Lonchura striata: one gene and its partners. The protein of the gene in region 1 interacts with the protein of each later gene in a pairwise test. Links are inferred from orthologs where the notes say so. Each region holds a gene or a part of one and is shown on either strand. Other genes may lie near its edges. The genes, in order: RNF41, ASB6, ENOPH1 and HOMER2.

Evidence for each region.
Region 2: the proteins of RNF41 (region 1) and ASB6 interact in binary tests that used the Homo sapiens proteins (3 or more experiments, as listed by UniProt). The link is inferred for Lonchura striata from reciprocal best matches to the Homo sapiens genes RNF41 and ASB6.
Region 3: the proteins of RNF41 (region 1) and ENOPH1 interact in binary tests that used the Homo sapiens proteins (3 or more experiments, as listed by UniProt). The link is inferred for Lonchura striata from reciprocal best matches to the Homo sapiens genes RNF41 and ENOPH1.
Region 4: the proteins of RNF41 (region 1) and HOMER2 interact in binary tests that used the Homo sapiens proteins (3 or more experiments, as listed by UniProt). The link is inferred for Lonchura striata from reciprocal best matches to the Homo sapiens genes RNF41 and HOMER2.

Annotation. Positions count from the first base shown.
Region 1 is NC_134629.1:5,463,508-5,470,681, forward strand, and holds the start of RNF41 (E3 ubiquitin-protein ligase NRDP1), read right to left. Parts: upstream 3,062-7,174; 5' UTR 2,993-3,061; intron 1,192-2,992; 5' UTR 1,059-1,191; intron 1-1,058. UniProt on the Homo sapiens protein: Acts as E3 ubiquitin-protein ligase and regulates the degradation of target proteins. Polyubiquitinates MYD88. Negatively regulates MYD88-dependent production of pro-inflammatory cytokines.
Region 2 is NC_134624.1:3,661,375-3,669,408, forward strand, and holds the start of ASB6 (ankyrin repeat and SOCS box protein 6), read right to left. Parts: upstream 3,030-8,034; 5' UTR 3,006-3,029; intron 2,164-3,005; 5' UTR 2,101-2,163; coding exon 1,988-2,100; intron 1,567-1,987; coding exon 1,385-1,566; intron 1,043-1,384; coding exon 936-1,042; intron 633-935; coding exon 524-632; intron 43-523; coding exon 1-42. UniProt on the Homo sapiens protein: Probable substrate-recognition component of a SCF-like ECS (Elongin-Cullin-SOCS-box protein) E3 ubiquitin-protein ligase complex which mediates the ubiquitination and subsequent proteasomal degradation of target proteins.
Region 3 is NC_134606.1:60,814,649-60,821,725, forward strand, and holds the start of ENOPH1 (enolase-phosphatase E1), read left to right. Parts: upstream 1-4,057; 5' UTR 4,058-4,113; coding exon 4,114-4,197; intron 4,198-7,077. Other genes in the region: HNRNPDL (heterogeneous nuclear ribonucleoprotein D-like), read right to left, coding at 1,254-1,324, 1,489-1,656, 2,229-2,343, 2,458-2,589, 2,852-3,013, 3,102-3,270, 3,561-3,649. UniProt on the Homo sapiens protein: Bifunctional enzyme that catalyzes the enolization of 2,3-diketo-5-methylthiopentyl-1-phosphate (DK-MTP-1-P) into the intermediate 2-hydroxy-3-keto-5-methylthiopentenyl-1-phosphate (HK-MTPenyl-1-P), which is then dephosphorylated to form the acireductone 1,2-dihydroxy-3-keto-5-methylthiopentene (DHK-MTPene).
Region 4 is NC_134613.1:14,903,967-14,911,161, reverse strand, and holds the start of HOMER2 (homer protein homolog 2), read left to right. Parts: upstream 1-4,194; 5' UTR 4,195-4,291; coding exon 4,292-4,386; intron 4,387-7,195. UniProt on the Homo sapiens protein: Postsynaptic density scaffolding protein. Binds and cross-links cytoplasmic regions of GRM1, GRM5, ITPR1, DNM3, RYR1, RYR2, SHANK1 and SHANK3.

The DNA of each region.
Region 1 (7,174 bases):
GGCAGGAATTCCCTGGAAAAGGCAGGAATTCCCATGGAAAGGCAGGAATTCCCTGGAAAAGGCAGGAATTCCCATGGAAAGGCAGGAATTCCCATGGAAAAGGCAGGAATTCCCACGGAAAAGGCAGGAATTCCCTGGAAAAGGCAGGAATTCCCATGGAAAGGCAGGAATTCCCATGGAAAGGCAGGAATTCCCACTGAAAGGCAGGAATTCCCATGGAAAAGGCAGGAATTCCCATGGAAAGGCAGGAATTCCCTGGAAAAGGCAGGAATTCCCATGGAAAAGGCAGGAATTCCCTGGAAAAGGCAGGAATTCCCTGGAAAAGGCAGGAATTCCCATGGAAAGGCAGGAATTCCCACGGAAAGGCAGGAATTCCCATGGAAAGGCAGGAATTCCCATGGAAAAAGGCAGGAATTCCCTGGAAAAGGCAGGAATTCCCTGGAAAAGGCAGGAATTCCCATGGAAAGGCAGGAATTCCCATGGAAAGGCAGGAATTCCCACTGAAAGGCAGGAATTCCCATGGAAAAGGCAGGAATTCCCATGGAAAGGCAGGAATTCCCTGGAAAAGGCAGGAATTCCCATGGAAAGGCAGGAATTCCCATGGAAAAAGGCAGGAATTCCCATGGAAAGGCAGGAATTCCCATGGAAAAGGCAGGAATTCCCTGGAAAAGGCAGGAATTCCCTGGAAAAGGCAGGAATTCCCATGGAAAAAGGCAGGAATTCCCATGGAAAAGGCAGGAATTCCCATGGAAAAGGCAGGAATTCCCATGGAAAGGCAGGAATTCCCATGGAAAAGGCAGGAATTCCCTGGAAAAAGGCAGGAATTCCCACGGGAAAAGGCAGGAATTCCCATGGAAAGGCAGGAATTCCCATGGAAAAGGCAGGAATTCCATGGAAAAGGCAGGAATTCCCATGGAAAAAGGCAGGAATTCCCACGGAAAAGGCAGGAATTCCCATGGAAAGGCAGGAATTCCCATGGAAAGGCAGGAATTCCCATGGAAAAGGCAGGAATTCCCTGGAAAAGGCAGGAATTCCCATGGAAAGGCCGCTGGGGTTACCTCCCGTGGCAGAATCCCGGGAATGCCGCAGGGCTGCGCTGGCCTCGCTCTCTGCCGGGAATTTCTCCCAAAATTCTCCCATTTTTCCCTCTCGTCTCCCACAGGCGGCGCCGCGAGGTCCGGCAGGACGGATCTGATCCCAGGAAAGAGAAAAAAACGGGAAAAGTCACCTGGAAATCCCCGGAAAAAACACCCGGAAATGCCGGGGAAAGCCACCAGGAAATTCCAGGATAAACCACCTGGAATTTTCTGCATAAACCACCTGGAAATTCCTGGAAAAAACACCTGGAAATTCCTAGGAGAACCACCTGGAATTTCCTGGAAAAATCACCTGGAATTTCCTAGAAAAAACACCTGGAAATTCCTAGAAAAAACACCTGGAAATTCCTAGAAAAAACACCTGGAAATTCCTGGAAAAGCCACCTGGAAATTCCTGGAAAAATCACCTGGAATTTCCTGGAAAAATCACCTGGAATTTCCTGGAAAAAACACCTGGAATTTTGTGCATAAACCACCTGGAAATTCCTGGAAAAGCCACCTGGAAATTCCTGGAAAAGCCACCTGGAAAAATCACCTGGAATTTCCTGGAAAAATCACCTGGAATTTCCTGGAAAAGCCACCTGGAATTTCCTGGAAAAGCCACCTGGAAATTCCTGGAAAAGCCAATTCCCACCTGGAATTCCCAACGATGGGAAGAAATCCTGCCCTGCTCTGCTTTTTTTTTTGGGAATTTTGGGAATAACGGAGCCCCCAGCCAGGCTTGGACAGGGATCCACACTCAGAAATTTGGGAATTCCATTCCCAGTGGGATCCAAACTGAGAAATTTGGGAACTCCAGCCCAGTTCCCACTGGGATCCAAGCTCAGAAATTTGGGAATATTTTGGATTTTTCCCCAAATTTCCCTGGATTTTGTCCAAAATTTCCCTGGAGTCTTCCCCAAATTCTCTTGGATTGTTCCCCAGATTCTCTCCCCAAATTTTTCCATATTTTCCCCAAATTCTACTGGATTTTCCCCAGATTATTTTGGATTTTCCAAAAACGTCTCTGGATTCTCCCCCAAAATGTTTCTGGATTTTCCCCAAAATGTCTCTGGATTTCTCTCCAAATTTTTCTGGAGTCTTTCCCAAATTATTTGGGATTTCCCCCCAAAATTATTTTGGATTTTCCCCCAAATTCCTCTGGAGTTCCCCCAAATTTCTCAGGATTTTCTCCAAATTCTTTTGGATTTCCCCCAAAAATTCCTCTGGATTTTCACACAAGTTTTCCCATATTTTCCTCAAATTCTCCTGGATTTTCCCCACATTATTTCAGATTCCCCCCAAATTTCTCCATATTCTCCCCAAATTTTTCTGGATTTCCCCCCAAATTTTCTCTGAATTTATCCCCAAATTCTTTTGGATCTCCCCCCAAATTATTTGGGACTTTCCCCAAAATTTCTCTGGATTTCCCCCATATTCCTCTGATTTTTTCCCAAATTTCCCCCAAATTTCTCCATATTCTCCCCAAATTCTTTTGGATCGTTCCCCAAATTATTTCCGATTTCCCCCCAATTAATTTTGGATTTCTTCCCCAAATTTCCCTGAATTTCCCACCAAATCATTTTGGATTTTCCTCAAATTCCTCTGGATTTTCCCCAAAATTCCTCTGGATTTCTCCCCCAAATTCTTTTGGATTTTCCCCAAACATTCCTCGGGATTTTCCCCAGAATTTTCCCAAATTTCCCTGTATTCTCCCCAAATTCTTTTGGATTTTCCCCAAAAATTTATCTGGATTTTCCCCAAATTCTTTTCAATTTCCCCCGAAATTCCCCCGGCTTTTCCCGTTCCATTCCCGGTACCCGCTTCCCCCCCCCCCCGCGGCCTCTCCCGGTGCTACCGGGAGCCCCGAGCAGCGCCCCGGGGCCGCTCCGCCGCCGCTCCCACAGCGCACGTACCGCGGGGGGCGGGCCCGGCCCGCCCGGGGCCTCTCGGGGCCTCCCGGTGCCGCCCGGTGCCGCCCGGGGCTCAGCGGCGGCCGCGGCCTCCTCCCGGTGCCGCCGCCGCCGCGCCGGAAGTGCCGCCCTGGCCGGAAGTGCCGCCCTGGCCGGAAGTGCCGCCCTGGCCGGAAGTGCCGCCCTGGCCGGAAGTGCTGCCCTGGCCGGAAGTGCCGCCCTGGCGGGAACTCGGTGGTAAAGGCGGAGAATGAGGGAATGAGGGGGCGTGGTTTAGCCTCCTAGTCCCGCCTTTTCTCCATCGCTATTGGTTGGGCATGCTGCTCGTCAACCGCCTCCCCGCGCGCTGATTGGCTGCGGTGGAGGACTTCCGGGATCGCCCGCGGCGGCGGCGGCGGCGCCGGTCCCGGTGAGCGCGCGGCGGGCGGGGCGGGCGCCCCCTGGCGGCGGGACCGGAGGAAGGGAGCGCGTCCCGGTCCCGGTCCCGTTCCCGGTCCTGCTCCCGGCTCTGCTCCCGGTCCTGCTCCCGGCTCTGGTTCTGCTCCCGGTCCTGGTCCCGGTCCCGGTGGCCCCGGAGTGTCTCTCGTGGGTAGTCCCGATCCCGCGGTCCTGTCCCCGGTGTCCCGGCCGCCCTCGCGTGGCGGGACGGGAGGGAGCGCGGTCCCGGTTCCACTCCCGGTCCTGGTCCTGGTTCTGCTCCCGGTCCCGTTCCCGGTTCTGCTCCTGCTCCCGGTCCTGTTCCTGCTCCCGGTCCCGCTCCTGGTCCCGGTGTCCCCGGAGTGTCGCTCTTGGGTAGTCCCGTTCTTGTCCCCGGTGTCCCGGCCGCCCCCGCGTCCCCGCGGTCCGGTGGTCCCGATGCCCATCCGGGATGTTCCCGGTGTCCCTCCGGGATGTTCCCGGTCCCGGTGTCCCTCCGGGATGTTCCCGGTCCCGGTGCCCATCCGGGATGTTCCCGATGCCCATCCGGGATGTTCCCGGTGTCCCTCCGGGATGTTCCCGGTCCCGGTGCCCATCCGGGATGTTCCCGGTCCCGGTGTCCCTCCGGGATGTCCCCAAGCTCCACCCGCGATGTCCCGCCCGGCTCCCGCCGCTCCATCCCCGGGTCCCGGTGTCCCCAAGGTGCCACTCAGTGTCCCCAGGGTGATACTCAGTGTCCCCAAGGTGCCATTCCCTGTCCCCAGGGTGCCATTCCACGTCCCCAGGTGCCACCCCGTGTCCCCATGGGTCCCATCCATATCCCCGCTGTCCCCTCAGGTGCCACCCCGTGTCCCCAGGGTGCCACCCCGTGTCCCCAGGGTGCCATTTGGTGTCCCCAGGCTGCCACCCCGCATCCCCAAGGTGCCATTCTGTGTCCCCCAGGTGCCACTCGGTGTCCCCAAGGTGCCATTCCCTGTCCCTGCTGTCCCCAGGGTGCCACCCCGTGTCCCCAAGGTGCCACTCAGTGTCCCCAAGGTGACATGTGGTGTCCCCAGGGTGCCATTTGGTGTCCCCAAGGTGCCACCCCTGTCCCCAAGGTGCCATTTGGTGTCCCTGCTGTCCCCAGGGTGCCATTTGGTGTCCCCAAGGTGCCATTCCCTGTCCCCAAGGTGCCACCCCGTGTCCCCAGGGTGCCATTTGGTGTCCCTGCTGTCCCCAGGGTGCCACCCCGTGTCCCCAGGGTGCCATTTGGTGTCCCTGCTGTCCCCAGGGTGCCACCCCGTGTCCCCAGGGTGCCACCCCTGTCCCCGCCGGCCGCGCCGCCGCCATGAGCGCCGAGACGTTGGTCAAGGACGTCAAACCCGGCCTCAAGAACCTCAACCTCATCTTCATCGTGCTGGAGACCGGTCGGTGCCACCCCCGTGTGCCCCCCGTGCCCCGGGTCACCCCGATGTCCCCGGGTCACCCCGATGTCCCCAGGGTCACCCCGATGTCCCCGGGTGACCCCGATGTCCCTGGGTGCCCCCGATGTCCCTGGGTGCCCCCGATGTCCCCAGGGTCACCCCGATGTCTCCGGGTCACCCCAATGTCCCCAGGGTGCCCCCGATGTCCCCAGGGTCACCCCGATGTCCCCAGGGTGCCCCCGATGTCCCCAGGGTCACCCTGATGTCCCCAGGGTCACCCCGATGTCCCTGGGTGCCCCCGATGTCCCCGGGTCACCCCGATGTCCCCAGGGTCACCCTGATGTCCCCGGGTGACCCCGATGTCCCCAGGGTGCCCCCAATATCCCCAGGGTCACCCCGATGTCCCAGGGTCACCCCGATGTCCCCGGGTCACCCCAATGTCCCCAGGGTGCCCCCGATGTCCCTGGGATCACCCCGATGTCCCCAGGGTGCCCCCGATGTCCCTGGGTCACCCCGATGTCCCCGGGTCACCCCGATGTCCCTGGGGTCACCCCGATGTCCCCAGGGTGCCCCCGATGTCCCTGGGTCACCCCGATGTCCCCGGGTCACCCCAATATCCCCAGGGTCACCCCGATGTCCCCAGGGTCACCCCGATGTCCCTGGGTCACCCCGATATCCCCAGGGTCACCCCAATGTCCCCTCGCTGTCCCCCCCAGGCCGGGTGACCAAGACCAAGGACGGCCACGAGGTTCGGACGTGCAAAGTGGCCGACAAGACCGGCAGCATCAACATCTCCGTGTGGGACGACGTGGGCAACCTCATCCAGCCCGGGGACATCATCCGCCTCACCAAGGGGTACTGGGGACCTCTGGGGACACTTGGGGACACTTGGGGACACTTGGGGACACTTGGGGACACTTGGGGACCCCACTGTGACCCCCAAACCCTCCTCATCCTCAGCTACGCCTCCGTCTTCAAGGGCTGCCTGACGCTCTACACCGGCCGCGGCGGCGACCTGCAGAAGATCGGCGAGTGAGGAGCAGCCTGGGGGGTTTTTTGGGGGGTTTTTGGGGGGTTTTTGGGGTGCCAGGGGGGTTCTGGCACCGGGGGCACCCCAAAAAGCCGCGCTGCGCCCGCAGGTTCTGCATGGTTTACTCCGAGGTGCCCAACTTCAGCGAGCCCAACCCCGAGTACGCGGCGCAGCAGGCGCAGGGCAAGGGGGTGAGTGTGGGGGGCACGGGGGGTGCCCGGGGGGTCTCAGCTGAGATTGGCACGAATCTGAGGGGATTTGCACCGAATCCCCCCGGGTTGACCCCAAATTCCTAAAAAATTACATCAAATTCCAAAAAAATTACATCAAATTCCAAAAAAATTACATCAAATTCCAAAAAATTTACATCAAATTCCAAAAAATTTACATCAAATTCCAAAAAAATTACCCCAAATCCTCATGGATTTGCACCGAATCCCCCCGGGTTGACCCCAAATTCCTAAAAATTTACATCAAATTCCAAAAAATTGACCCCAAATCCTCATGGATTTGCACCGAATCCCCATGGATTAACCCCAAATTCCAAAAAATTTACATCAAATTCCAAAAAATTGACCCCAAATCCTCATGGATTTGCACCGAATCCCCCCGGGTTGACCCCAAATTCCAAAAAAATCACATCAAATTCCAAAAAAATTACATCAAATTCCAAAAAAATTACATCAAATTCCAAAAAATTTACCCTAAATCCTCATGGATTTGCACCGAATCCCCCCGGGTTGACCCCAAATTCCAAAAAATTTACCCCAAATCCTCATGGATTTGCACCGAATCCCCCCGGGTTGACCCCAAATTCCAAAAGATTTACATCAAATTCCAAAAAAATTACCCCAAATCCTCATGGATTTGCACCGAATCCCCATGGATTAACCCCAAATTCCAAAAAATTTACATCAAATTCCAAAAAATTGACCCTAAATCCTCATGGATTTGCACCGAATCCCCCTGGATTGACCCCAAATTCCAAAAAATTTACATCAAATTCCAAAAAATTTACATCAAATTCCAAAAAAATTACATCAAATCCTCATGGATTTGCACCGAATCCCCCCGGGTTGACCCCAAATTCCAAAAAAATCACATCAAATTCCAAAAAAATTACATCAAATTCCAAAAAATTTACATCAAATTCCAAAAAAATTACATCAACTTCCAAAAAATTGACCCCAAATCCTCATGGATTTGCACTGAATCCCACAAATTCCCATCAAATTTCACAAATTTACCCTAAATCTCCACAAATTTACATCAAATTTGCACAAATTTACATCAAATCCCCACAAATTTCCCCAAACCCCCCAAATCCCCCCCAAA
Region 2 (8,034 bases), on another chromosome or scaffold:
CACTGTCACTGCTGGCCAGGGCATGCAGCAGTGCTGTCTTCCCTGCAATGGAGCAATCAGTCACAGATGACAGGGTGACACCCCAAAAGGCAGGAAGGAAAACAACCCGCCCCACCCACCAGACAGCCAAACATAGGGAGTGACAACCAGTCTTCTGGCAGAGGCTTCCACTGTCCCCATGATGGTGCCCAGCTGTGGGGACAGTCAAAGACCACACGTGCAGGGCTGATGGAAGCCTCAGTGGGTCTATGTGCCATGGAAGAGTGAGTTTTAGAGCAAGTGCTCTAGGACAACAGAGGAACAGCCCCACCCCACCTCCCGTGGACTGCACAGAGCTAGGTTCAGCCCTTTTCATACAGCCAGCACACCAGGAGAAAATATCGAGTGCAGGGAGGTTCTGCCAGCTTCCTCCCAGCTCCCACACCCGACTGTAAGCAGGGAGCAGGCACAGCAGCAAATGGCCCAGCCCTGTGCCCTGCCCCAGCCCACCCTCAGCTGGGGGAGCCGGGCGGGGCGCACGGACCGTTCTTGTCGGCGGCGTTGACGTCGGCCCCCAGCTGCAGCAGCCGCCGCAGGCACGGCAACCGCTCGGGCTCCTCGCTGGCCAGGTCCAGGGGACTGCTCTCATGGATCTGCAAAACAGTTAAAAACAGTTAAAACACACTGGCAGATGTTGAAGTCTGTGAGTGTCAGCAGGGAGTTGCTGTTGGGGTTTTATCTTGGCCACAGTAAGTTTATCTCTCCAGCCTCCTCCCACACATCGCTCCAAGGCAGGGGCTCAGCCAAAGCCAACATGACCTTCAGGCACAGCACCACGGACAGTGGGCACAGGGATGTGCCAAGGGGAAGCAGCACAAGCAGGAGGGAAGCAGGAGGGCTGTCCCCACACAGCAGAGCAGCTGAGGCCTGGCTGTGCCCAGGCAGCGAGGCCGTACCCGGTCCCTGCGGTTGATGTCGGCGCCGTGGCGCACCAGGAGCTCCACCACGTCCGGCTGGTTGCGCAGCACCGCCATGTGCAGCGGGGTGTAGTAGGTGACTGGGTCTGAGGACAAAAACAGTCAAAGAAAACAAAGGGCTTCCCCAAAACGGCCCCAGTGCCTGCCAGGAGTGGAAGGGGACAGCTGGGGAGGGCCCTGGGAGCACAGTGATGCCTGAGAAAACAGGCACAGGCACCCCAGGTCCTGCTGCTCCAGTGGCTCCATCCTGCCAAAAGCCCCCCTGGTGCTCCTGGGTACACACAAGGCACATCCACACTACTCCAGCAAGGAGCAGGAGTGTCTGAGCTGGCAGCACCCCCTGTTTGTGCCCCAGCTATCCCCACCTGCCAGGGCAGCTTCTCATCTGCCGGTTCCTCCTGGCCCAGCCTCCTTCCCACCAGCCTCACCTTCAAAGCTGAGGTCAGCACCAAATTCCAGGAGGATTTCTGCAGCTGGGACAAGCCCCAGCTCAGTGACCTTCAGCAGGGCATAGCTCACACCTTCCTGATAAAATGGGGAGTGGATCTCCCTCTCCAGGACTCTTCTCACAGCTGAGAGCTGGCTCCTGTCACTGTCCAGGCAGGCAGGGCTTGAGACACACAAAAACCCAGCAGTTACTCAGTGAACACAGCTCAGGTGTGCAAGGGTCAAAGTGGCAGCAGGGAAGAAGGAAAATCCCTGGTCTTCCCTCTGGTCCCATACCCAGTGGGTCTCTGACCCGCTGGTTGTGGGGTTACACAGCAGCCTCAGGGCTGAGCTGAGCCCCAGTTTAGGCTTTGTTGCCAGGGGTCAGGCAGAAAGGGCTGTTCCTGGGGAGCCCCCACAGCTCCTGTGTTTGCCTTGCTGCACCTCCCTGTTCCCAAAGAACAGCAGCAAAATGAAGGTCTGTGGGATGAGCTGCTCGCCAGGACTGGAGGCTGTCCAAGCCAACGCTGTCCAACCTTGGCCACCTCCCTGAGCTCCAACCATCCCCCAGAAACACCCTGGGGTGTTCAGCCCCCCGCTCTTACCTCTCCAGGGAGCTCTGCCCTTCCGTGTCAGGTGTGGCCAGCAGCCCCAGGAGCTCATCCACCAGGGGCTGGTACTCCAGGACGATCCTGCGGAAGCCGTGCAGGAAAGGCATCGTGATCTGCCCCGCCCGGGGCCTCCAGCACGGCACCGCTGTCCTCCAAGGGGCTTCTCCCTCCTTCCAAACAAACGAGGCTTTCAGCAGGTTTGAGCATAGAAGAAAACACAGCCTCCCCCTCCTTACATATAAAGGCAGCGCAGGGATCTCCTCCCACACAGCGATCTGGTGTCTCCAAATGATCTCCTGCGCTCTGCAGTTATCTGGGCACGGCACGGGAACGCCCAGGCGGAGCCAGGACGGGCACAAAGCCCCTGTGCCAGGAGCCAGCCTGGGGGTGCTCCGAGGGGTCTGCAACCAGCAAAGCCCTGCCTGGCTTTTTGGGAGAGGGGCTGGAGCCACCCCAGGGACCGCCCACCCCGCAGATCCCTCCTGGGGTTCAAGCCCAGGAAGCCCCAAAATCCCCGGGCAGCCCATGGCAAGGGATGGGCAGGAGCCCCCAGACCCCAGCAGGAGGAACACGAGACCCTGCACAAAAACCACACATCTTAATTCCCTTATCGCTCTTTACCGAGCTGTAACAGCCCAATTAAAATAAGTTAGTAAAAAACAACACTAATTTTTCTGCTCGTTTTACAATACTCCAAAGCGGGAATATTTTTGTTATTATCAGCACGTACGTGTAAATAAATAAATAAATAAGGGTATGCACCACTCCTGACATACAAATATTTTTAGGTGCATTAAACACACCATCACACCTTTCCCTGAGGAGGCAGATCAGGCTATAGCGGGGGGGGGGGGAAAAAAAAAAAAAACAAACGAGTCCATAAAGCCCGGTTCTTTTTCACAGATAAACACCCACGAATTGCAATGCAACCCCCGCCGAGCAGGGCGGGAGGGAAGGGAGGCCCCGGCAGCGCCCTCCCCGCACGGCTCCCCGCGGCCCGGCCGCCCCTCACCTGCCCGGGCACCGCCACCGGAACCGGAACCGGAACCGGAACCGGAACCGGAACGGGAACGGGACCCGGGGGCGGGGCCTGGCTGGGGGCGTGGCCATTGGGGGCGTGGCCTCGCTCAAGGCGCTGCCTCGTCGAGCGGCATTGCGCATGGGCGTGGCTTTAAAGGGCGTGGCTTCAGTGGGCGTGGCCTCGCACGGGGCGTGGCCGTGGCGGGCGCGGCCAGCAGGGGGCAGCACGCGGCCGCGCGCGGGATGGGGGGGACGGGGGCATCCCCCGGGGTCCCCCCTCTGTCCCCCCCTTTCCCCCCCTCTGTCCCCCCCTTTTCCCCCCATTTCCCCCCCTTTTCCCCCCCTCTGTCCTCCCCTTTCCTCCCTTCTGTCCCTCCCGGGGCGTCCCCTCTCTCACGGGTGTCACGCCCCGCCTATCCCCTTCCTCGGTGTCCTCCCCCGTCCCGGGTGTCCCCCCATCCCGGGTGTCCCCGTTTTCCCCGATGTCCCCCGTCCCTCTGGAGGACCCACCCAGGCCGGGCTGGCTTTGCTGGGAGGTGGCACCCAGTGGCTGCCGCCCCCCCGGGGCTCGGGGTGGCTCCGGTGCCGCTGCCCGCAGCGCCTGGACCCTCCCCTGCTGAAAGAGCTACCAGGGGGAGCATTAGCCCAGGATTTATTGGTACTATTATCATAATCATCATTATTTTTATTATTATTCTGGCGGAATCCGCCAGCGCGGGGAGCTCTGGAGAGCGGCAATAACTGAAGCCGCCTTGGGTTTCCTATTTACGTATTTATTTTATTCCGGTGGAGCGCTTCCAGATTCCAGCAGGCAGCCGTGGCCTCGGGGCAGAAGGGGCGAGGAGGCCGCCCCGGCTGGGCATTTTTCTGACATGCTGTCACGGTCCCCCCTGTTTCCCACCCTTCCTTTCCTCACACAAAGTGGGGTGCCAGGCTGGAGGTCCCCAGTGCTTGCAGCCCCTGGACCCCGTGCCCACCTTCAGGACAGGGCTCTTCGCAGGGTGGCCCCGGTGCCACCAGGATTTGGTGCTGTGCAGTGGCACCTCGATCCTGCACCCCTCCTGCAGCCCAGCAGCCCCCCTGGGTGGGGTTTTGGGGTGTCATCCCCGTGTTTGCCTGAGTAGGGGTGGAAATAACCCCATCCAGCCCAGGCAGGGAGCAGAGGGGGAAAGCAGAAGGGAGAGTGAGGGACGGGGGGGATTTGTCCCTCTGCATAGGGGGGTTCAGCTGGCTTCAAACCAGAGCAGCCTGGCTGGGGGGACCCCATCTGGGGTGGGCTGGGCAGCTGAGACCCTCATTCCAGTCCCAGGTAAAGCCACACCCTGGGCCCTCTGTTCCCAGTAAAGCCCAAAAAGCCACAATCCAAGAAAACCCTGGACCCTCCACAATTCCAGTGGCAGCACGGGACACAAACCCCATCCCTGTCTGTGTGGCACTGGTGGGCACTTTGGGCAGAAATCGCTTCTCCTTTCCTGCTGTTGCTGGGAAAGGAGGGCTGCCAAGGCAGGGTCACCCCAGTGCCACCTCTGCCCCCAGCCATGCTGTCCCTGAGGATGAGAGGGGACACCGAGCTGCCCCAATGTGCATTTTTAGGAGCCCCACAGAGGCTTTTCCCCCAATTTGAAAGGAGCTTTTGGGGACACAGTGTGGGACCAAACCTGGCTCCAAAGCAGCCCTGGGAGGTGACAATCCAGGAGAGCCACGGGCTGAGCCCTTCCCTTGCCAGCAGCACAGCGAGCCCACGCACGTGGGAGTCCTCCCTGCCACGGCCACACCACGGGACACAGCGCAGGGAGATTCCCCAGCCCCACATTTCCTGGGAGCAGAGATTCTGCTGGCAGGGCCGTTCTGGCCGTGCTTGGGCGGGTGTTTAGTGCCTGGCTGGGAGAACAGCACCAGGCTCTGCCCCTTCCTCCCCACGGCCTTGGCGGGGCGGACTCGGAAGAATGCGAGTTGGCCATCCATCAGGGAGACACAGCAACAGCCAGCCGAAGAAAGAGGGGCATTTTAGGAGGAAAGCCAGGGAAATTTGATCATTAAGAAATCCTCCTGGCTGTCTGGGGGAATTTAATTAAATTGCTGGAAAGGGCTGTAAGCACATCTGGATCCAATATGTGCCGCTTTGATTTTTTTCTTTCTTTCTTTCTCTTTTTTTTTTTTTTTTTTTTTTTTTTTTTTTTTTTTTTAGTTCACTCTTTTCCCATCTCGCTGTTGAAGGAGGGGGGGAATAAAAGGGAAATAGCAGAGCCACGGAGTATTGGTTCATCTGGGACTGACTGGGATTCCTGGCAGGGAAAGAAAGAGAGGGAGAGAAAGAAAGAGCAGAAGAGAGGCAGAAAGAGAGGGAATGAGAAAGCTGGGAGAAAAATCTTCAGCAAGGGGCTTGCTGGAGTGTTTTATAATGCCACCAACCACAGAGACAGGGAGCTAGGAGGCAATGGGGGAGCTGTGAGGGCTGCAGGGGAGAGGAGCCAGCGCAGGGCATGCTGTACTTTTGGGGTCTGGCAGAGATGGAGGGAGAAAGAGGAGCTGCTCAGTAAATCCAGAAACACCATTCCTGCTGGGAAGGGCAGGGCTGGGCACGGGGGACTCCCCCAGCAGCTACTCCTGGCTGTCACCCCTGCGGGTGGCACTGCCCTGGCCCCTGCCTGATGCCCCGGGGGCGGAGGGGGTGCTCTGATCCCCAGCCTGGGCAGCACACGGGCCGGGCACACACCCCAGAGCCCTTTCCTGGTCCTGGCCAGGCACTGCCAGGCCCCCGCCATCCCCCACACCCTCCTCTTTCCCACTCCTTACCCCAAGCATCCTCCAGGCAGCAGAGGTGCAACTCCACGGTCAGAAAATCCTTCAGCTGTGGGCGAGCCAGCCCAGCTCTCTGCACCAGAACATCCACAGGGCGAGATTTTGGGAATGTTAGGAGGGAACTCCTGGGTACCACAAGGAGCAGCACCATCCCAGGCAGTGCTCCAAGGAGGCTGCACTGCCCCTGTCCACGGTTTTGGGGTGAGGAGGGGCTGGGGCTGGCAGAGCACATCCAAATCTGTGCCGTGCCGAGCAACACGGAAGCACAAGGTGTTAGTGCAGCGTGAGAGAAATACCAGGAAACCCCAAGGAAACACAAACTGAGATTACCAAACAAATATTATATTTTCAATCTTTTTCTTTCGAGAGGAAGATGAAGGACTGGCAAAGAGAAACACATCCATGCCAAGGGCTGCAAACCTGGCAGGCTCTGGACAGACAGATCCTCACCCTGAGGAGCCCAGCACAGCCCAGCACAGCCCAGCACAGCCCAGCACAGCCCAGCACAGCCCAGCACAGCTCTGAGGGGCCCAGCACAGCTCTTCCAGCTCAGTGCCTCTGCTTCATCACCCAGCAGTTCTGGCCCAGCAAAGCTGGACTCAGAGCTCACACCCAGCTCAGCAAAACCCAGGTGCTGGTGTCAGGTAAAGCAAACCTGCTCAGCTCCGTCTCTGCACCACCCAAAGCTGAGTCACCTTGCCAGCTTCGAAGTCCAGTTTAAAACACAATTTTTACCAAAAAATTAAATGATAAGAGCTTGCACAAGCAGGTTAGGGAACACCAGGAGTGTGTGTCTCAAGCAACCAGGTCTTGCTTGGGATGCCTCGTGTGGCTGGTGGTGTTAAAAAAACGATGCTGAGGAAAAAAAAAAAAAAAAAAAAGGGCAAATCCTACAGCTAAAAAGGAAATTGCATTAATACAGATTGTTTTATTTAAAAAAAGCAAACCCTGACCTCTACTTCAAAAAAGTCATTAGACATTCTCCTTCTGAAAGGCCGACAGGGGATATTATTGAAAGGCCAGTTAATTTCTCAATGACTTACTGTTCTTGCTCTGTTCATGGAAATGTGTAAAGAGTTGGAGGGTAATTTAAGGCACCCTGCAGAAAGGTGTGTAAATCTTTGCATGTCTAAAGAAACTTTACCAGACCACTAAGACTGGGGGAAAAAAGAAAATGCTGGCCCTCTTTTTTTTTCCCTTTTTTTTTTTTTTTTTTTTTTAAACTTTCCTTTGGAACTCTGATCCCCTTTGATCATAAAAAAGGTCATATTTCAACCAAAAAAATATCAGCAATCACAGGGCCCGAGGAAGTGCGAACCCAAGGGGGTTTCACCGACGATTATTCCCTCCATTTAATTATTTAATGCCAAGGACTGAGGGGGAGCTGTCTCCCCTGGAAAAGCCAGACAGTTCAAGAATAAGGTCTGGCCCTAAACAAGGAGGAGGAAGAGGGTTATAAACGGGGGTGGGGCTGCTCCATCCCCCGCTCCTGCCCTCGCCCCTCCATGCGCCAAGACCAGCCACCCCCAAAATAATCCCAGCAGGATGTTCCCAGCTCTGGAGACAAGAGGGGGGTGCTGGGGCATCCCAAGGATGGGGGTCCCCACTGCCCTGCCCCCCTCAGCAGCCAACCAGTGCCCATTGCTGAAGGGTCGGGGCTGACCCTCGAGCGGTTTCTCCTGGACACGGGGTCGTCTCCATCCTGGGTGGGGTCTGTCCCACGGTGGCAAAAAGCAGGATGGAGTGAGGGAAGGGTGTCACGAGGCTGTGCTGGGTCCCCCAGAGCCTGGTGGTCCCCGGGGGGATGCAGCCACCCTCTCCCCGTGAGCACGGAGCAGCCAGGAGGGCTGCTGGCCATTGATTCGCGCTCCAAAACACTCTCGGAGCGCAGAAGCGCCGCGCACAGCGCTGCCCTGGCACGGGGGGACAGGGGACACGTCCAGCCGGGCTGGGCAGCACCACAGTTCCCATCTTTGGAGCATCCCGCGGGGAAGCAGGAGCAGAGGCAGGGTGACATCAGCCCGAGGGGACAGAACCGGACACCGGAGCTGGCTCCCAAAACGCCCCTGGGGACAGCGAATCGGACCGGCAGAACCCATAAACGGAACCCCCCCCAAAAAAGAGGGGGAAGGGAGGCTGGGCTGGATTGTTTGCACACTGGAGGAGCCCCCCGCAGAGCTGGAAAGAGCCAAAATCTGCCTTCAGCTGCACCCCTTCCA
Region 3 (7,077 bases), on another chromosome or scaffold:
CCCTCCATTCACTCACGATGCGTTGCAAGATGGCTTTTTGTCGCAGTATCTCTACCTAAAAAATCAAGACAAAATGCATGTCAGATCTGTGACAGTTACTACAGGATTGTTAAAAGGTCCATTTTCATGAACTGCTTTAAGTCTTCTATATATTCCTTTCTTCACTGTTAAAGATCATATGCATATTTATTAAGGTAACACAAGAGGTTTGTTTAGTTGCCCATCAGTAATTTATTTTCCCGAATATTCAGCCCATCTAGGAGGCTGCTCCAAAACAACCATCCAATTTAAGACAAGTAAGCAGGCTCTGGATCACTTTGTTTTCCATTGGAAATACTGCCAAAAGGCTTTCCGATTATTTGTTTATACAGCTAAATGACTTATGTGCAACATAAGTCAGGTCACTTTAGCTCACAGTCCATATGCATATGATCTTTAATGTTTATCCAGATTTAAAAGTTCGTTTTGGTTTGCAGATTTCACTATTAGCTATAAAAAGAAAAAAGCAAGCATTAAAATCTTAAAGAATGCACATTTAAAATGAGGTTCCACAATTGAAATACAACACTAAACAGAAGACCAAATGATTAAGCTGTAAAGGCATTTATGTACTTTAACTCCTGTAAAAAACCATTTAAGTTAAAGACACTTAATCTCCAAAAAAGATTAAAAAAAGAAGCCAAAGTCTGAAGTTTTCCACTTTAATCTTTACGCTGGTACATGAAGTTGGAAGAGACCATACCACAGGACAGCGTTTTCTGGTGTATGCCTTGCGCTCTGCCTGCAACGTGCGACCCCAGAGATAGACGTGGTCAGGGTGACACACGGCCTGCAATGAAGTTCCCGCTGGCGGGTACAAACAAGGTATAATGTCAGAGTTAGAAGACAACATTCTTGTTTTCCTTAAGTTGTACCCATTTCAGTACTTTACCTGTTAATACTTCTAATAAGTTTAATTATTCCTCTAGACCACCTGGTACACAACGCAAACCAGAAAAACTCTTATGTTTTTCTGAAGTACTAAAGAAGATAAAGTCACGCTTTTACAAAGTTAAAGATCTATAGACACGTAGGCAAAGCTGGTTTTAAAAAAAAAGTATTTTTTAAGTTAACAAAAGCTTAATTAAAGGAAAAGTCATGCTAGGCAAGGTTTTACTCTTCGTTTGTCTATTGATCTTTAAATTAGATTAGACGTAGTTGGAGTGGAGCTTGCGCTCCTGTACACACCTGTTTGTCAGGCACTAGGTACTGCCTTAGTAGGGCTGGTAGTTGTTTTGGTGGTTGCCGCCGCCACGGGACGCCTTCCCATATGTGCTTTGCTGGCCTGGAGGTAGCATGTGGGGAAAAACAGAACCCACAAGTGTTAACACCAGCCTCAGAGGGAAGCTTCACACACAGCAGCACACCAAGGGATCTCATCTTTAGAGCCATGGGCTGACTAAGAGCAAAGTTGCTCTTCTTATCAGGAGCGAGGGCAAAACCACTCACCGCTGTAATCCGTGTATCCCGGCCCATATCCATAGTTGGGATAGTTGTACCCAGAGTAGTCGTAGCCTCCATAGCCACTGTAGCTCTGATCACTGTAAGTGCTATTGTAATTCCCATAGCCTTGATCATAATAGTTATTAAATCCTTGGTTCCAGTTTTGTCCCTGACCTGAAACCAAGCATAGCAAGTGTAAGTTTCAAAACTTTTTTCACTCCTCTCCTGTGCCCCTTTATCTAACTTTCTGGACATGAGAATAATCCAGTTGCCTGAGTACCAAGTGACACCAAAGGACAAGCCTTACTGTGTGGTGCGAGTTGTGGCTGCTTGACCTTTATAGATTGAGATGCATTAACCTGTATAGTACCAGCTGATCCTTCTGATCTATTTGAAAGTGCAGCAAAGTGACCACCCCACTCCTTAGCAAACAGCTCCTGCTTTTCTCCCACAGGCCAATTAGATGTATCACTTTAAAGTGAAATTGCAACTGCTGGTTACACTGTCCACTAAGGGTGCACCCTACACCCACCTTGCCCCTTTACCACTTGAATGCAAGCAGATCAAGAGGAGGCTCCTCAGCTTCAACAAGCAACCATAACCAACAAAACACCACTTACTCACAGGCTACTTTACACATTTGATTTAAACATGAGATCTGCACACAGCCTGCAACCTGGAATATCTGCAAACACCTGAATGTTTGGTTAAGTACTTAGATTAACAGAACCACTGAAAATACTCACCCCGTCCACGCCCCCTTCCACCTCCACGTCCACCAGAAGAATTGCTTTTCCCTCCTTTCTGCTGCTGCTGTTGCTGCCTGTACACCTCTTTGGGCTGTGCTACTTTGATTTCACACTGTAAGGACAGAAATCCTTTAACTTACTACAAATTCCACGAGCACTTTGTGAGCTGCTTTCACAGAAGCCTACAAAGACGGATTTCACATACTAAGAACAAGAGTTTTCCCACCTTGCCTGAACCAATCTGGTGGTATCTGCTCTCTAACAACTTCTTTACTGGCTCTTCATCTGTATACGTGATAAAACAGAAGCCCCTCCTTTCATTCGTCTTTGTGTCCATGGGAAGCTCAATGTTTTCAATCTGAAATCAAAATGAACATAAACAATGCGTAAAATCTGTAAGCAACCTTTTTATGCCACCAGAACTATCTGGCAGTGCAGAATCGATATGCTGACTACTTCTGGCAGCTATAAATCAGACTATTACAATTTTAAGAAATCATTAATATATAGATTCAACTAGCTCTAGTTTTGGCCAACTACCACCTCACAAATCCTTTCTTAAGAAAGAGGCCAGACTACACTTGAGAATTGGAGTGCTCTTATATGCCAATATACTATACCTCGCCAAAAGCACCAAAGTACTCCTTAATCTGTTCTTCAGATGTATCTGGACTCAGCCCACCAACAAACACTTTTTTGGGTGGCTCCTTCCCTTTCAGCGCTTTTGCCCTTTTAGGATCTATTAACTTGCCATCCAGTTTGTGTTCCTTCAGTTCCAACACCTAAAAAGCAGAGAAAAGAACAAAGTCTCAGATCGCTACAGCTACACAAGCTGGCTCCGTGCCATCGGACCACAAGAACAGCACCCACCTTCTCCACGCTGGCAGCATCCTTGAAGAGCACGAACCCAAACCCCCTCGACCTTCCAGTGACCGGGTCTGTTTTGATTGTGCAATCCACGACCTCGCCAAACCGCGAGAGATACTCTGTCAGGTCCTTCTTGCTGGTGTCCCAGCTGAGGCCCCCGATGAACATTTTCCTGGAGGGCACGGAAGGCGTGCGGATCCGGGTGAGGGAACGCCGGGGAGCCCCCCCGCGCCCCCGCCGGTGACGTCACGGCCCGCTCGGCCCCCCCGCGCGCGTCCCCGCCCCGCGGAAACTGGGTCACCCGCCCGCCACACAAAGGCGGGCGCGGCCGCGGCGCGGGAAGGGAAGGCCGCGCTGCCCCCGGCCACCGAGCCGCCCCCCCGAGCCGCAGCGCGGGCGGCGGAGATGGATGCGCGACTCCGCCGCACCTCCCCCCCCCCACCACCACGTCCCCGGCCCTACCCGTCGTCCTGCTGGTTCTTGCTCGCGTTGATCTTGGAGCCCTCGGCGAACTCCTCCTGGCCGCCACTCATCTCTGTCGCGTCCTCCATGGCGAGGCGAGGGCGGCGGGGGTGCTCGTGCGAGCGGCGGAGACAGCGGAGACCTGCGCCCGGCAGAAAATGGCGGCGGAAGAGATCCGGGCACCGCCTGCGCCTCTTTTATATAGCCGTGCCGGCAGCCAATCAGCGCCGCCCTGCCGCCCGGCTCCGCAGCGCCCCCGGCGGCTCGCGGCGGCGCTGCAGCAGCCGCCCTGCGGCCGCCATCGCGCGGGCTGGGCCGGGCCGGTGCCGCGGCTCCGGGCGGGCTCGGGCACCGCCGCACCGGGCACCGCGACGGGCGGGGGCGGGGCCGAGCGGGCCGGCCGGCGGTGGGTTGTAATTCGTAACCCAGAAACCCCCTTCGGGCGACGGCGGTGGGGAGGGGCGGGGCGGGCGCTCCGTGGGCGGGCGCAGCCGGCGCGGCGCTCCCCGCCGCCGCCGCGCGTCCCCGGTGCGCCCCACGTGCCGCCGCCGCCATGGGCGTGCTGCCGGTGCCGGCGGAGGTGCGCGCCATCCTGCTGGACATCGAGGGCACCACCACCCCCATCGCCTTCGTCCAGGTGAGAGCCGGTGGCCGCCGGCACCGCGGGGGGCTCCGGTAGCATCGCCGCTCCCGTCGTGACCCCCAGCCCTGGCGTCGAGGGGGGCTCCCGTAGCATCGCCCTTCCTACCGTGACCTCCCCGGCCCCGGCAGCTCGCCTCAAGGCAGGCCGAGGTGCCGCCGGGAACGAAAGCCGTGACCCATTTTCCGCGTTTTTCCGAATAATGCTCGCGAGCAAGCGCGCCTTGTTTTGCCGATCGGCCGCCGCTGTGGTGGGCTGGGGGCAGGTCGCTACCGCGGAGATTCGGGCACCTCGGGGATTTGTTTCCTGGATGTAGGGCATTGGGGTGCTCGCAGCCTCACCCGGGAAAAGCCCTCGAGCATCGCCGATCCTGTGATGGCTGGAGCTGCAGCACCGCACCCGGCTCTGCGGAGACGCTTCTTGGCCTTAATTTGAGTAATGCACAGTTTGCAGTAATCGGTAATTCTCGGGGTGATCCGCTGCCTTTTCCCTTGGGGAGGCTGGTACAGCCAGGCGCCCCCGGTGTGGGAGGGCAGCGCAGGGGACAGACAGACACACCGAGCGTTCGCGACAGGGACTGGAGTGGCACCGACGCACGAGTGGCTTCCCTTGCCTAGGAAAAAGCTTAAGACTGCTGGAAGTGCCGGTTCAGGTGCAGAACCGGGGGCACTGGGAAGTCTGCGAGTCACAGGCGCTCGGAGAACCGCAAATTGTCATAGCAGGGGTCCCTCCTCTCCGGGAGGCTTTGCTTCGCAGGAGGGAGCGGCTTGCTAAAACAGCGAACAGATGTATCCCTTCTCCTGCCCTAACTTGGATTTCTCTGTGAGACATTATAGCTTTTGGTGGATCTTTGCAGCCAGTGGCGCACAAAGGTGCTTTGTGACCCACATGGCAGGTGAAGGCTCCTGCCTGGCTTTCTAGAGCCTTCTGCTAACACAGCTTAACAGCTGATGATGAACAGCATGACCTACATCTTTCCTGTCCATGTTCTTCCAGTGCTCTTGAAGAAACTCCAGGCCTAAGATGGCATTATAGCTTCCTCCCTCCCCTCAATATCTTTCAATTCAAACAGTTTGGACAGCTCAGGTTTCTTACTAAACATCTAACAGAGCAACTAAGTTGTTTCTGTCCACCTTGAAGCCGTTTTGCAGTTGTGCAAACACATGCCATGCACCTGAGACTCTGGGCTTCCACCCAAAGTCTTTCTGTTGCAGAGAGGCCAAATGAGTTTTGATTCTCAATAAAATTCAGTTTGATGAAAACCCTGAAAATGCTTGGAACAAGTTATTTCATCTGGTCTTTCAGTTAACCTCTATTTGCCTTTGAAAGATCCAACTGATGGTTCAGTGGACACTTTATTCTTCAATATTAAACAATTTTACTTAATTCTTTCTCTAATGTTAGAATTACTGAATCTGCAAAGTAAGGAAATAGGATGAGTCAGTTGATGAGTGGATTAAGGAAAGCTGTCAGAAAAGAGAGTATTTGGAGTCTTCCACACAGATTCCTGGCCTATTAAACTTAGTACATCGTTGGCTGGGATCCATAAAACATTTGTCCCATTAGCTGTCCACTACTCCAGCTGTCACATGGGTGTCCGCTCTTAGTTCACAGACCTATGCACTTGCCAGTGGACCAAGATTTTTACCCTTTTAAAGTCCCCCAAATCATAGAATCCACTGGTCTTTCAGAGTCATTTTGGGAGTTTTTCTTAGCCAGCACAAGAGTATGAAACACTGCTTTTGAAAAGCAATCGTGTCCTTTTGACATCTGAGTTGTAAAGGAGGTTAAACCAAGCCAGCAGGTCAGCTGCATTTCCCAGTGGATTCTCTTTCATTTCCTCCATGATTTAAAAGATAGTTTGAAAGTAAAGGACATGAGAGTAACAGGGGGCATTACAAGGCTTTTGATTTCCCTAGGCAAGTTTGTGGTAATTCTTGAAGCAATTTGCATTCTTTTAAAAATATACAGCATGGAAAATACAGTATTAGAGCAATAGAAAATCCTGCAGTTCTGCCACCACATCACAATCTCAGGACCACTGCTTTCTTAATTAAGTAACAAACTAAAGATGACATAGAACAAGGAACAAGAAACTATGGGCCATTTTTTGAGGAGAGGTGAGTTTAGGTTAGTTTTTTTCCCAATTAAGAAAAGCTCAGTTCTCTACCCAGAGGAAGGACTTCCCTGCCCTTCTCCTTGACCTGAGGCTTTTACTGTACCCGGAGATGCACGGTGGCTGCTTGTGGCTTCTGACTCATGAAACATCATTAATGAGAGCAATTTGTAATTATTTCTGGTTGCTCTTGGGATCTCGGTGAAGGTTTGTAATTTTCCTGTGGCGCTTCTCCCAAACCCCGTTTAATTTCATTTGCAAGACTGTCCTGTGGAGTTCGGTGTCACCAGACCAGGCTTTTAATTTTAAAAGGTCCTCTAGCTTTGGTGAGAGGTTTAGACAGAATGACCTTTTCTTGGACAAGTGCCCCATCAAGAATACAATAGCATAACTTATCTGTTCAGAGTTGCCAGCCTTGTACTCCTCAGCTACTGGGAATGTGGGGTCACAGGTGCCACTTGAGACATTTTTTGGCAAGCCCAGGAAAAGTTATCACCTGCCTTTCCATCACAGGCTATAAGACTTTCAGCTACATAAACGTTTGTGTAAAAAAATCCACCTGCACTGATCCTGGCCCAAGACTGGCTCAGTCCTGTGCCCAGGCGGACACCCTTGGCAGGAATCTTCACCAGCTACAGCACTGTAGGGGAAGCTTAAGTTTGGGGAAATAACTGTACAAAGCAGCATGTGCAAACGTTTCCTTTAAAAGCCAGCCAGCCTTACCTCTGCCAGGTTAAAGGAGCAGCCTCTTTTTCTGCCAG
Region 4 (7,195 bases), on another chromosome or scaffold:
TTACAGCCTCTTACAGGTTTGTAGCCTTCAACTCCTTGCTGGGTATTCACATCCAGGCTGGAGTCCTGGTGGTGACTGCAGGGCATCGTTCTGGTTTTGCTGGCTTTCTTTGTATGTCCAGGTCTTCTCTCTTTAAGATCTTATTTTAAATTATTTTTGGTTGGCTGCCTTTGTCTTTATTCAGAAGGCAACATATACCATAATGTGACAAAGACAGCTCTTTGCATTTACATAAACATCTGCTTGGATTTGGTACTTGCATTTTTCACAGGATAACTCTAAAAAAAGTGAAGTACAAACTGGGCATGAACCTTCTATGACTCCAGTTATACAGGTGCTTCCTGGCACTAAGTAAATATAAGAATAAACCGCACAGAATAGTAAGATAACATGCAACCCATTTTAAATTTAAATTTAAATTTAAATTTAAAACCAATTTAAATTGCTTTTAAATTACTTTTTCCCTTTTATTTTTTGCTTTTAAAGAGACAGAAAGTAATCCTATTATTCTGGCTTATTTCTGAAGGAGACTGAAGAGAAAAACTTTTTTTCTTAGAAATCAGATGTCTTGCTGGAGAACTTGAAAGTCTCATGTTTTTTGTGAGCTCTAACATTTTAATTGAAAGGACAAGAGCGTTTATTATTTTAAGCAAATAGATCTTTTGTCCTAATTATTTATTAGATATTAGATTAAGTAGGTTTTAAAAACAAATACTGCAAATCAGAGTATTTTCAACATAATTATTGAAAATCCTTTTTTTTCTGTCGCTTCACCTTTAACATTTTATAGCCAGTGATATTATAATTACATTAGCTCTCCATTTGTCAGGAGACTAAAAAAACTAATTCTCTGTTTCAAATGTAAAAATCAAGAATTCCCCAAGCTTATTTTGGTTAAATCCAGGATAACATTTAAAGATAGAAAATGGTTAGTTATTTGTCAAAGGGGGGAAAAAAAGGGAAATGGCACAGTCCTGCTGGATTAAAAAAATGCAGATTTTATCAGTCTACTTGGAAAAAAGAGAAAAATCACAGTACTGAATATTTTATTTAATACTACCTGCCATGGGAAATAGAGAGAAATCTACCTTGAAGTGTAATAGTTTAAAAAGACTGAACAGCAGGTTTATTCTGCAATAAAATTACATCTAAAATAAAATAGAGTGGCAGAAGACAACAATAGTGAAACCAAACAAAAGGAGAGAACAGAAACACAGAGAGAGGAAGAGCCCAGTGAGCTCTTTGCTTTTCAAAATGCTGGGTACATAGTCCTGATTGTTAGATCAGCTTTCTGAAAAGGATATTCATCCTGTATCTAGGAATCAAAAAATTGTATCTTTAGGAGGCCTGTGGGAATAGAAGAAATTTCTCATCTAAAGAAGTTAGACCCATTTACAGAATGTGGATATTTTTATTCCTCAGCTTGAATCCTACCAAGGGATCCTGTGCCTTCAGTATTTTAAGTGTTCCTAAGCGTGCCACAGCAATAAGGGCACACTTGTGAATACTAAATGAGGACTGATTTACCCTCCCTTACACATCCTGTGCCTGAGCCAGCTCGGAAATGAAAGATCATGTCACATATGAAGCTTGAGAACTCATTAATTGTGATAGAATATTTATAGTTCTCATTTCCAGAGAACTGAAAATACCTTAAACAACTGGAATATTAAATTACACAAAAATAAGTCAATGGGAACTATACACAAACTAGGACACAGTTACGGTTGAGATGTTCAAGATGGAGCTGTCTGTAGAAAAATTAAAAAAAAATTCAATATTGATATTGTTAAGTGGTTTGCATGAGATCTGGGCCTTACTCAAATCCATGGGACTTTTACCATTGACTTGAAGTGGGGACAGGGCTTCATCCTCTTTTTGGCAAAGAGGACCACAACAATGTGCCACACTTCAGAAGGAGGAGTATCTCATCCATTTGGAAGAACAGTGGGAATTTCAGATGAAGGGACTGCACTTACCCCAAATATGAACAGAAAACTGGGTTAAATTGTTGTCTACCAGGGAAAATGTCTCAGGGTACTGGAAAAATGGGACTAAAACCCTCTATGTCCTAGAAGACAGTTTTGCAAAGAGCAATAATGAAGTGGAAAGACCTTATGAACAAAAGCGATATACAAAATCTTGTATCATGTGAATTATGCTTCCATAAACTTAAGCTTTATTTTTATAAATGGGGTTGAGAGCACAGTCTTGAATGCAATATTGGAAAAAAATTTAAAAATTAGAAAATGCTAAGGCAACTGCAGTTCCAATTGCCAATTCTCATCATGACACACATAGTGAGGGCATTACCCCATTTTGATCCAATTCCATTAGATGCTTGTAAGTCTCATGCAGCACTGGTTCATAATACACAGCTTTTGGATACTCACCAAAATGAGCTAATTAGAGAGGACCAAGAGAACTTCTCTCTGATGAACGGAGATTTAACAAAATGCGGTAAATGGTGTAAAAACAATGTTATAAAATGCTCAGATCCATGGTGAGAGTTTTTTCCACAAGATTTCTATGCTGCTGTTTTTACCCTTAGAAAATGTCACCCCTCACTGTGTCCTCTAGAAGACAAAATGGTCACATCAAAGCAATATTCAAGGATGCAGGTCATCATGAACATGAAAGGCTTGTCACTTTTGCCATGGGTATCTCAGAGGAAATCAGAGGCTATCTCACCTTCAGCTGGCAGAACAGGACATAGGAAGTTTTACATCAGTGATTAGGTAAGGAGTTAAGTCTCCTTCAACACCCACAGTAACCCTCTGATCGTGGTAAAGAGAGCAGGTACATGGGAGAGGTGTCATCCTACAGCCCTGTGGAAATGTCTGTGTCATTCACCCCCGCTCTTTTTTCCCTCCAACGGAAAAGACTTTGGGTGCATGGGACTGAAATTCCATTTTGGTGTTCCAGACATCAAGAAATAGTTGTCTGTCAGAAAAAGGGTTCCACTGTCCACAGCTGGAAGGAGTCTGGATGCTGGCTAAGTTTTTCTTTCAGGATTTCCATGATGTCCCAAGGCAATACTAGGGACACCCCCAGTTATTACACATGAAGTAAAAGCAAGCAAACATAAAACTTTTCCCACAACTTCTAATCTTCCTTGGAAAGAAAGGATAAATCAACGTGAGATTTAAAAAAAAAAAAAAAAAAAAAGATGAAAATAATCACTCTTGGTGGCAGAGTATTAATTATAACTTTGTGTGGGTGAAGTTAAAAGCCTGTTTTATGTGTGAATTGGTCGTATTTTCTCCATGAAAGAGTAAGTGTGTCTGCGTACACAGTCCTGTGAACACTCGAACGAGCAGGTCCACGGCTCTGCTATGGATTTGTGTCCTGTGATTGCCGCTCAGATGCCAGTGTCACCCTCGCGGCTAGGTAGCCATTACACGGCTCTTCCACGCTAGTCCAATTTTCCTTCCCTGCTTAGGAATCGTCCCCCTTTATTTTCACGAAACCTACATAGTTTTGGGACGGTGTGTGGCACAGACTTGCAGCGAGGCTGAGAAGAGCCAAAGGAGATGCAGACCTCCCACATTTCTGGGCAGAGCAGGCGGGAGCTGGCTGCGTGCGGCCCCTGCCCTGCCGGTGGCCGAACAGGGCAGAGCCGAGCCCGCGGCTCGCAGGCTGCGCCCCCACGGCCCCGGGGAGCGCGGATTCGGAACGCGGGGAGGGCGTGACAGCGGGAGAACCCGCTCGTGGTTCACCGGGCATCCCTCGGCGTGGCATCGCCTCCAGGGGGAAGCGCATCCCCGGCACCAGCGCGCCGTGCCCGCGCCGCGGAGCCGGGGCTGGCGGCGCGGCATCCCGGTGCGGGACAGCCGGTCCCGGACAGCCGCTCCCCGGGGAGGGCTCACCCCTCTCGCCGTTGAGGCTCCCCGGCCGCGGGCGGGGCCGCGTGGGGACACCCCACAACTTCCCCCGAAGTTTTCTTGCCGCCTCGTTCGTCCCCTTCGGCGGCTCGCCGTCCCCCGGCGAGGGCATCGTGAGGACGAGACCCTGCACCCCACCGGCTCCTGGCCGCGCACCGCGGCACAACCCGCCGAGCGCCGGCGGCCGGGCCCGGGGCGGGGAGCGGAGCCCCGGGCGCGGCCGGCCCCGCCCCGCCCGCCGCCCCCGCGCTGCCGCCTGGCAGGGCGGCGGGTGCCGCGGGAGCTGCTCGGTGCCGCCGCCGCCCGGGAGGGAGGTTATGTAAGGGGGGAGGGAGGCGGGAGGAGGAGCAGGACGGCTCTCGCCGCCGTGCAGCCGCCGTGCAGCCGCAGCCAGCCGGGGCGGCCGCATGTGCGAAGTGGGGACGCGGCCGCCGCTGGCCGCCGAGCGCGGGGAGCCGCCCGGGGGTGCCGCCGCCGCCGCCGAGAGGTGCCGAGACATGGGGTGAGTCCGCCGGGCCCCGGCCCCGCGGGGCACCGCGCCCCGAGCCGCGCGTGGGCGCCGCCTCCCGCGCCGGCCCCGCCGCAGGTGCGGAGCGGGGCGAGCGCGGCCGCCCCGTGAGCGCTGCCCTGGACGCGTTTGGTACCGTAATTAATCGCTGGCTGCCGCCCGAGCCGCCGGCGGAGCGGGCACGCCGCGGAGGAACGGCACCGGCGGCAAAATCCCCGCTGGAAGGAGCGGGGAGGAGCTCGGGATGCCGCGGAGCGGGGGCCGGAGCGGGGCCGGTCCCTGGCCGGTCAGCTGCGGGATGTGCGGCGAGTTCATTGTCATGTTCCACGCGCCGGTTCTGCCGGAGCTCTGGCTGCTGGAGGCACACGGTAAACTTGCCTGAATTGTGCCAGATGGTCCCTAATTTGTGCACATATTTTTCTCTTTTAAACATTTTTTAATATGCCAGGAGTCTCTGACCACATGTGGTAGCCTTTTGGAGAATTCAGCTTGGTCTTTCCAAAAATTAGTCCTTCATTTTTGTTATCCTCTAACTTGTATGAGGGGACAAACGCCAAATGCTGGCATTAGGGTAGTTTATGAACTAAATATCAGAGAACAGAGGTTAAGGTTGTGCCTTTGGCTTGAACTATATATAGGTTTGAGATCCTCTCGACCAGAATGTCTTGGGGGATTCCAAACCCACACATTTAATTTACTTTATTTTTATCCTATTATGTTCTCTTACACCTTTTCCTTGCCTCTCCTCACCCCCGTGTGGCAAGGAATCGTTCTCCAGTTTCTGAGCTTCCTCTGCTGCTTTCAAATGTCCAAATTCCCACTATAGATTTGTTAATTGTTGTCAAAGTAATATAATGTGAGGCTGTATGGATAAATAATGAATTAAAATGGCATGCACACGTCCAAATTTGATACTCTGGAGTACTGAATAGAAATACAGGGGCAGAGGGAGAAATAGGATCTAAGTGAGTATCTCCCTACGTTTCTCTTCAGGATTACAGGGGCTCATCTGCTTCTTAATTATGCAAAGTTTAACTGGAAAATAAAAGAGAAACTGTCCTTGGGGTTGGAGAAAGAAGTATTGAAACCTGTTCGGAGCAGCACTGCCCCACAGAGTCCAGGATGATCAGAAACATCCATCCATGGGAAACTTGCCTCTGTCGATCTACCTGGGTGTCTCTAAAGGCAAATGTTTTAGTTGCTGTCATTTTTAACCATTTCCATTCTGGTAGATCAGTTTAGCTGTGGCTTGGAGAGAAGTGAGTGGAAGGTCACAGTGCTCCTCCACCCTTTCTGTCAGTCAGTTTAGTTCTGGCCTTGGTGTGGTCCTGCTCTGCCTCCGGAGCTGTTCCAGCTGCGAAGGACTTTGGCTGCAAAGGCTTTTGAGAGCTCTGGTTGTGCTCCTGTCTGTGCTGCTGCATGCAGTGTCAGATCATGCAGACCTGTACAGGGAGCAGGCACGTTCACTGGTCAGTTCAATACACTGCTTTAATGTATTTCTCAGTAATTTCAGTCTTACACTGGTGCACATGAGATCAAGCTCCCAGTGTCATTCATTCCGCGGGTTTCAGCGTGGGTTGTGCCTTCTCTTGCACTCTGTACAGAGTTCAGACAAGGTGTTTGGTGAATATGCATTTTCCCAGTGTCTCACATAATTATCTTGTCATTCACCTTTCTGATCTGGAGAACTTGGAAGTGCATTTGTGATAGCATTACTGCAGCTGTGGCTTAGCACACATGGCACAGGAGCAACCTCCCAGTTTTCTTCTGGTTCCATCTATGCTGCAAATCCTTCACCTCTGCATGCTCCAGCTTGTCCTTCTGTGAAATGGGCAGCTCTGTACTCACGTGTCTTTGTGAAGCAGGTCGTGGTCAGAACACAGAGCTCAGTCATTCTTACTTGCATGAGTATATTTTGGCCCAGGCATTTGAGTGGGATTTGCTTCCTGGGCACATTTTAGTGTCACATATGGGGCATGTACTCAAAGAAATTGTGACAATTAATTGATTCTTAGCTCTTAAAATATTTTTTTCTTTTACTTTCCTTTTTTCTTTTTCCTGGGGGTGACCATTGCTAATGATTCATTTAAATGCTGCCTATGGATTTGGCAGTGACTGATCGTGCTATGAAACCTGATACAGCTACTTGAGCTTAGCAAAGCAAAGCTATTTAAATTGCTTATTAGCTGTGAGCTGAGCTGTTTAAACTGTTGGTTTAGTTCAACTTACTAGTCAGCAAGGTAGTGTAATGTTTTACAATTTACATGTTTTTTTAAAAAAAAACTAATGCCTGTAATACAAGGGACATGAAAACAACATTGTAAAAAAGTTACCAGAAAAAAGTCTGCTCCAGGGTCCATAAAAGTCAATGTGAAAGTTGCTGCTGACTGAAAACCACTGTATTTTGGTCAAGCCACTGTTAAGAATCTGGCTGGACAATGTCTACTTTAAAGGGAATTAATCTTTTCTCAAATCACTTCTTTCTTCTACCAAGCATATCTGATAGCTGCTGTTACCTCAATCCTCTCAGAGTTTAAACTTCAGCTATTGGAAAACCACAATGCAACACATTTCCAGCTGTAGAAATCTGTGTCTGAAAATACCTCCTGCTTTGTCTCTTGCAAGCCAAGGGCTGACACAATCAAGGAAGTGTCTCTGATGTTAGTGGGCTGCACCTACTTATCTAATGGCCGTGGTCTGGCTCAGAATGACCTCAGTTTAAGCAGTCCAAGTTAAATTTACAGTTCTAAGGATGCTTGAGATTTTGGTATTAGCTGATTTAAGAAGGTGCTGGATAGGTGTT